Diceros bicornis minor: one gene and its partner. The protein of the gene in region 1 purifies or fractionates together with the protein of each later gene. This does not show direct contact. Links are inferred from orthologs where the notes say so. Each region holds a gene or a part of one and is shown on either strand. Other genes may lie near its edges.

Region 1 (3,915 bases):
TTTTACAAGTAAAAGTTGCATCATCAAGCACATGTGAGGCAGGTGTTAGGGGCAGAACTGTCCCCATTGCTGCCAAAACGTGGAAAGAAAAATCAACCTTTCCTATCCATTCAGCCAAAGACGGCCCCGGTAAAGCCTCGGAGGCCGGGTGTATGTCCCTGATAGAGGGTCTTCAAAGGTGCCAACTTTCAGAGTGTGAACGAAAAGAAAGGTCAAATCGTCCTCTTGGGACACTTGACGAAAAATCCCCGATAATTCTTTCTTTGCCTCAGCGTAGAGCAGCAGCTGGGCCTCCTCCTCGTTAACCCCCAGCGAAGAGGAGGCGGCCGCGTATGACTGCTCTGGTCCAATCTCCTCCTCTGGGGGTCACAGTACCGACAGGGAGGGCTCCCACGTGGCGCCCGCAGCCTGGCCACAGCTGGCTCGGCCTTCCCACCCCCACCCCTCGGCTGGCGTTCTGATTGGCCAAAGGCGGCCGGAGTCGCTCCAGAGCAGCGGCGATTCGGCCAAACTGGGCGGGCACCGCTTGAGGGGTCGCAGCCTTGCGGGCAGCTCCCCGAGCAGCCGGTCCTCCGTGTTGGCCCCATGCCCGCAGCGAAGGCACCACCCAGTGCCGGAGCCGCGCAACCCCACGTGGGCCCTGGTTAGCGGCAGACGCCGTCGCCCTCCACCCTACGTCGGGTAGCCCTCACCTCAGCGCTCGCGGCGCCTCCACCTTTAGCTTCTTGGGCTTCCGCTCCTCCTCAGCCGCTGCCATCTTCGCGCTCCCACCCTACTTAAGCTCCAGCCCACGCCCCACCCCTTCGACTCTCTGGCCCCGCCCCCTCCTCGCATCACCGCCTCCTTTCCTCCGAACCCCGCCCCTCCCGACTCCTCTAAGTCCGTGCCTCCCCCACCCACAGCCATTGGCTCTACCCGTCGGTTGCACCAATTGGCTAAAACATAGCCCTCCTGACCCCGCCCACCGGACAGTAGGGGGACCCCAGACTGAGTTAGGCTGCGCATGAGCGCCTGAGTCCATATGGTCAGAAATCGCCCATTCTTCTAGATTCTGGGTGATCTAGAAGATTTAGATCTTAAACATCAAGAGACATCTTTCTTCTCATTCACCGTCTTCCCGCTTGTTTAATCTTTTCAAGACTGTGGAACGAGGTGGTTTCTTTGAAGCTGTCAGTAAGGCAATCTACTGGGCACTCCACCTGCGGGGTCCTCACGGCCCTCGAAGCTTCCTCAGCCTCCGTCCGGAAAGGACCCGGCGCCGAATCACTGACAGGCCCAGGTGTTGGGGTGAGTGTGAGGGGAGGGGAGTCTGCGGACAGGGGACAGCTCGAAAACTGGGGAGTAAGCTGAGTAGCTGTGGCTCCGGATCCCAGGCTGGGCTGCAGGAGTATCTCTGGTGCTGTGGGCCGGGACCGCTCCTCCCTCCCGGCCTTCCGGGCTTCCTTGCCAGGAGGGCCGGAAGGGAGCGGTGCACCTGGAGCCCAGGGTTCTCCGGCCCCAGGCCCAAGAGGTTCAAGCTCTTTGGGGTCCCTCTCCGTGCTCTGGCTCGGGAAAAAGTCTTGTCACCCACAATGAGCTGGAGTACTGACGACTCGGACCTCAGCCCCAGGCTTTTGCTGTGGAGGACAAAACCTCTGACTGACCTGAGCGGACGTCCTGTTAGAGGGTGGCGCCTGGATGAGCCTGGGGTGGGGAATACAGTGAAGAGGGTGTTGCAGTTCTTAGAAGAGAGGTGACGGAAATCTAAACTGAGGAGGTGGCAGTGAGTATGGAAAAGTGATGAGCGATGTGGCTTGCTGGATTTGGTGGATTTGGGTTGAAGCTGAAGCTTATAGCCTACAGGTTAAGAAAGTGGTGCCACTATAAAATTGGGATATATCAAGTTTGAAACCGTGGTTTAAGTGGAGATGGTAGAAAGATTAAAAAGAAAAAAAAAAAAAAGCCTGGAAAGTAAGCCGGAAAGAAATTTTCAAGGTGAGGACCAAATCAGGTGAAGTTTCACATAATAGAGTAAGAAGTGTTCGTTTTGTTTGGGGGAAAGTTATCAGTTATGTGAAATGCTGCAAGGGTCAAAGGAGGAAGTTGAAGTCTGAAAATGGGTCGTTGGATTCGATGATTAGGAAGTCATTGGGCCACTTGAGAGAGCTGCTTTAAATAGAGTAGATTACTGAGAGGAGAGGCTGCAAGTGTAGACTTAATCCTTCTTCATTTGGAGCATGAAGCAAAAGAGTTTTGAGGGTGGCAAGGTCTCTAAAAGGTTTGGGATTTGTTTTTCTAAAGAATACAAGGCACATTATGTTTTGGTGCAGAAAACAAGTAACCAATGTATAAGATTAAAGATTCAAGAGAGATAAGACCTAGGAAAAAAGGGAAGGGAATGGGATCAAAATTACAAGTGGATTGGTTTTGGAAAGAAAGGAGGACACTTTCAGTTGAGACCATGGGAAAAGTGGAGGAATGAAGTGAGTGAAGAAGTACCTGAAATTTACATATCTTTAGTAGGAAAGCTCTCTTTACAATAAGATTAACTTTTCTTGCTGAATGTTAGGATTTTTACAATATTTCTAAACATTCAACATAATATACTATTGGAGTTCCCTGCAGACCAGATGTTTTTAAGTAGCTCTATAATATCTCAATTTATGAGTAGCAAATGATATTTGTAGAGAAAAGGAATTCTCTCTCCCTCTACAAATGTCCTTCTCTCCTATTACACAGAGATAATAGAGCCATCATCTTCCTGCAACCGAATACACAAACCTCCCCTTTTCTTTAAAGAAGAAAAAGGGTCCCTTCTTCTTAGGGAAGGCAAATCCTTTCACTTAGTCTCCCAATACCATCCTTTTCTGTCTTCTCAGGGTCCTCTTTTTTTCACTTATTCCCTCTCTCCTCCTCATTAGCCTTTCCCCCTTTACTCACACCTTTCCTTCAGTATTTAAAAATATTCTTCCTTTATGAACCACTCCCATTTACTTTCCTGTCTTTTCATCCCCTTCACAGCTAGAGTTCTTGAATATATCATCTACTCTCCGTATGTCTGTTTTTCCCACTTTCTCAGCCCACTGCAGTATATCTTGTTTCCATCATTGTACTGAACTACCACTGAAACTATTTTTACTAAGATCACCAATGTCCTCTATGTGTTAAATCATACATTCTCAGTAGGGACAAATATTGCTTGTTGTGAGGCAAAAAAATCATGCTATTTTTATGTATAAAGCACAGATATATTTACAATATGTAAAGAGATATACAGATATATATTCGGTGGTATTAAAATTTTATGGAGGAGGGGTGTGAATGAAGGGAAGTCTGACAAGTCCCCTTAGCAGGCAATAATGAAAAGAAAGTTGAAAAACACTGTTAAATCAACAGTCATTTTCAGTTCTTCTTGTAGCTTTAACTCTTTGTGCTATTTGAAATGTTTACTACTCCAATCTTCTGGTAACACACTCTAGTTACTACAAACCGTTACCCTCCCCCCTTTGTTTCTTATCCCTCTTCAGCCACATCTTCTTAGTTTTTTTATTTTTAGGCCCACTTTATGGACTCAGCTGCTACTCAAATGTTGGAGTTCCTTCCATAGGCTCTCTTCTACTATGCACATTCTCTCTTTGTAGTTTTATTCTTGTAGTTACAATTCCTCTTAACAAACAATCATGATTACTCACAAATCTATCTCCAACTTGGCTTCTCTCTGAAGCACCAGACCTATATATACAATAGCCTTTTGAATATATCCATTTGGGTCAAATATATCCAGAATTGGGGCAGATTATACAGGACCAGGGCTAAATGCCTCATTTCCCTCTCATCTCCTCCCCTTCTACCACCTAATCTTTGCGCAGGCCTAAATATTTCTCTTATCTCTTCTTCTTCTTTTTATTTTTATTTTTTTTGTGAGGAAGATCAGCC
Region 2 (3,915 bases), on another chromosome or scaffold:
ATATTTCAATGTCTCCCTATAGTGACAATTTGAACTAATATAGTAGGTTTTAATAGTAGGTAGGGCTAGGTCCCCCTCATTATTCTTCTGTTTTGGAATTTTCTTTGACATCCTCCTCAACATTTGGAACATTTTGTCAAGTTTCAGTGCATTTTTATTGCCTTTGGCTTTTTTAAAATTAAAAAACTCTGGCTATGAGTAATATATATTTATTTTATAAAAGAATAATATATAACTCCACCACCCAAAGATGTATGTTAAATCACTTATGTAGTACTCAGTGATATGCTGTGCATTGCTCCAAGCGCTTACAAATATTAATTCCTTTTGTTTATAACTGAGGCAAGTAGAATCTTTTTTTTTCAAAAAAAAAACAGTTTTACAGTAAAGGAAACTGATGTTATGCCTGTTTCACAGATGAAGACACTTGCTTAAGGTGCCCGGGTGGTGAACAGAGCCAGGATTTGAATCAGGGCAGTGTGGTTCCAGGGGCCTGGGCTGAACGCTATGATGCCATTCCATCAGACACAATTATTATCCATATTTTGGTGTATCTACTTCCAATCTTTTACAAAGTGGGGTGTCCCTGTACATACTTTGTATAATCTTTTCACTTACAGATATGTCATGGAACATTTGCCTATACTATGGTATAAGCCTTTCACAGCACGATTTTTAATAACTTTAATATTTCTCGTATGCATGTGTAACAATGCATTTAGCCAATTTCTCATTTTGGAATAATTAGTTTGCTTCCCATTTTCCCCAGTAATAACACTGCTGAGATGTACTTTCTTGAGGCTAAATCTTTTCACAGATCCACAATTATTTTATTATAAATTCTAAAACTGGAATTGCTAGGTCTAATGTTCTATACATTTCAAAGGCTTTTGATACATATTGCCAAACAGTCCTCTGGATAGATTTGCAGCTTTATCTGCAGCATAGGGACATGTTTCACCTCACCCCCACTAAGTCATTACAAGAAAAAACAAAAACTACCAATTTGAGATCGCTGGTACCTTTTAAATGGAATTGCATTCAATATTCCTTAATTCCCACTATGCACTATCTACCACGGAGAAACAGCCCTTTTGCACGAGGACATCTATATAATTCCCTGCAGCATTGTATATAATACTGAAAAATAAAAATGAACTTAATGTTCTCCAACAGGGGACTGCTAAGCAGCCGGCATCCGCCCACGGCGGAGCGTTCCGCGCGCTTTAAGGCGGAGGCGGGACCGCGGGTCCAGTGCAGACTGTGGGGACGCGAGGCCTCCGCCGCCTCCCCGGGGAGCGGGGCTGCTCTCAGGGGTTTCTGCTCCTGGATCGGCTTTACGCCGGACTCGGGATTCTGCAGCAAGCGGTCGGTCTGTGCGAAGAGCACAGATCCAGGTTCGCGCCCTGGCCAGGCCCTGGGTGGGCAGCCGACGCTGGCCGCGTGACGACCCTCCCCAGCCTCGGTGTCCGCACAAGCCCTCCCTCGAGAGCCCGCCGCCCACCCCAGAGCCTTCTTCAAGGCATGCAGGGAGGCCGGACCCTTCGCGGTCGGGCCCCTGGGCGCCGGGGCAAGTTTCCGCGGGCCACTCTCAGCAGCGCACCAACCGGAAATGTCCGTGTTGTGGCGGAAGGAGATGCTCCCCGGAAGCAGCCAGTGCTGACAGAAGCGTGGCGGGCAAAGATGATTCAGGCGATTCTGGTTTTCAACAACCACGGGAAGCCGCGGCTAGTGCGCTTCTACCAGCGTTTCGTGAGTGCGGCCCAGCCTCGTCACGTCCCTTCGGGGCGGCCGCCCCCCTTCCTTCCCCTAGGTCCCTACGGCGCCCGCGGGCCCGGCAGGTGACCCCTTGGGGCTCCTGCCCCTTGCGTGACCTCAAACCCCTTAACCTCCTTCCGCGGCCCGGGGCCAGTGTCAGGCTTGCTGCCCCCGCCCTCCCCGACCCCGCCCTGGACCCGGCATTTCCGTGCGGTTTGGTGACACTTCCCTTTGGGTCTCAGGGCGCTCTGAGTGACGGCGGGGGTGTGCCTCATTGGGAACGTGAATGATTGCAGTCACTTTAGTCTTGGTGGGTGTTGAACGCAGTTCCATGAGGAGGAAGAAATATGCAGCTGCTTAAAAGTTTTTGCTTTAGCCGGAGGGTCTGGAAAAGTGCTTTCTTGGGATTATTTCCCTTCCATGTTTCCTGGGCCTGCCCCAGGACTGGATACCCTGCGCTCTGTCGAGTTGAGGGAAGTCAGTTTAAAAATGAGGAATGATGAGAAATTATAAATGCTGCCGCGAGAATTTTCCAAAAACGTTTTTCTGGAAAAACGCAAACATCGTTATTTGCATCCTGCCCCTCAACGTTTTCTTTCTTTCTGGCTAGGTTTCAGAATGTTACATGCATAATTGGTGGACTGGTGGAAGCCCAGAGGTGAAAGACTCGGAGAACTTAGGTTTAGGTCTCAGCTCCACGTTTTTTACCTTTGGGTCTATTGATAAGTTAACAAACTCTTCCAGGCTTTATTTCCTCTTTTGTCAAATAGAAATGAAAAAATAGTTTTGCCTTTTTCATAAGATTTTTTTTATCTAGATTACATTTTATTAAATAATTATATCGAGGTAAAAATATTAGCATTCAATATAACTATTGTTTGTATTTGTATTTTTGTGTGTGTGATTTTTTTCCCTCACTTTTAAGTGTTATTGAGATATAAGCCACGTACCATACAGTTCACCTATTTAAAGTGTACAATTCAGTGGTTTTTAGTATGTTCACAAAATTATGCAACCATCACCACAATCAATTTTAGAATATTTTCATTACCCCAAAAAGAAACCCCTACCCATTAGCAATCACTGTGTATTTACCCCTCAATTCCCCCAGCCCTAGGCAACCACTCATCTTTCTCTCTCTCTAAATTTGCCTCTTCTGGACATTTTATATAAATGGAATCATACAATATGTGGTCTTTTACGACTGGTTTCTTTCACCTAGTATAATATTTTCAAGATTCATCCACATCATAGCGTTTATCAGTTCTTCATTCCTTTTTATTGCCGGATAACATTCCATTGTATGGATATACCACATTTCATCAGGTGATGTTTTCACCTGCGGCTCTTGTGTATAATGCTGTTACACACATTCACATACAAGTTGTTGTGTGGACGTGTTTTCATTTCTCTTGGTTATACACCTAGGAGTAGAATTATTGGGTCATGTGGTAACTTTATGGTGAATATTTTGAGGAACTGCCAAACTATTTATCAAAGTGGCTGCATCATTGTACATTCCCATCAGCAATGTGTAAGAGTTCCAATTTCTCCACCTCCCCATCAACATTTGTTATTATCTTTTTGATTAAAGACATTTTAGTGGGTGTAAAGTGGTATCTCATTGTGGTTTTAATTTCCATTTCCCTAATGATTACTGATGTTAAGTATCTTTTCATGTCCTTACTGGCCATTTGTATATCTTCTTTGGAGAACGTAGGATTTTTTTTATTTTTTTATATATTTTTATATTTTTTTGCAGGGGAAGAGTTGCCCTAAGCTAACATCTGTTGCCAGTCTCCCTCCTTTTTTTATCCCCACCCCCCCCCCAAAGCCCCAGTGCACAGCTGTGTATAGTTGTAAGTTCTTCTTGTTCTTCCATGTGAGCCACCGCCGCAGCGTGGCTACTGACAGACAAGTGGTATGGTTCTGCTCCTGGGAACTGAACCTGGGCCGCCGAAGTGGAGCATGCCAAATGTTAAATGCTAGTCCATCAGGGCTGGCTTGAGAACATAGGATTTTTATAAGAACCAAATTAGCTCATGAGTGAAAATTACCTTGAAAACTGCAGAGTACTAAAAGATATGAGGGATTATTAAAATAATTGAGTCATATAAGCAATTGGTAGTTTACCTTTTTGTTGAATTAGAAATTAGG

The links.
Region 2: the proteins of AP3M1 (region 1) and AP3S2 purify together in Homo sapiens (co-immunoprecipitation; 3 studies listed by BioGRID and IntAct, counting the BioPlex papers as one, with this or other methods). This does not show direct contact. The link is inferred for Diceros bicornis minor from reciprocal best matches to the Homo sapiens genes AP3M1 and AP3S2.

What each region holds. Positions count from the first base shown.
Region 1 is NC_080745.1:32,592,747-32,596,661, forward strand, and holds the start of AP3M1 (AP-3 complex subunit mu-1), read left to right. Parts: upstream 1-1,014; 5' UTR 1,015-1,287; intron 1,288-1,444; exon of another isoform or gene 1,445-1,974; intron 1,975-3,915. Other genes in the region: ADK (adenosine kinase), read right to left, coding at 693-757. UniProt on the Homo sapiens protein: Part of the AP-3 complex, an adaptor-related complex which is not clathrin-associated. The complex is associated with the Golgi region as well as more peripheral structures.
Region 2 is NC_080744.1:93,557,147-93,561,061, reverse strand, and holds the start of AP3S2 (AP-3 complex subunit sigma-2), read left to right. Parts: upstream 1-1,644; 5' UTR 1,645-1,683; coding exon 1,684-1,752; intron 1,753-3,915. UniProt on the Homo sapiens protein: Part of the AP-3 complex, an adaptor-related complex which is not clathrin-associated. The complex is associated with the Golgi region as well as more peripheral structures.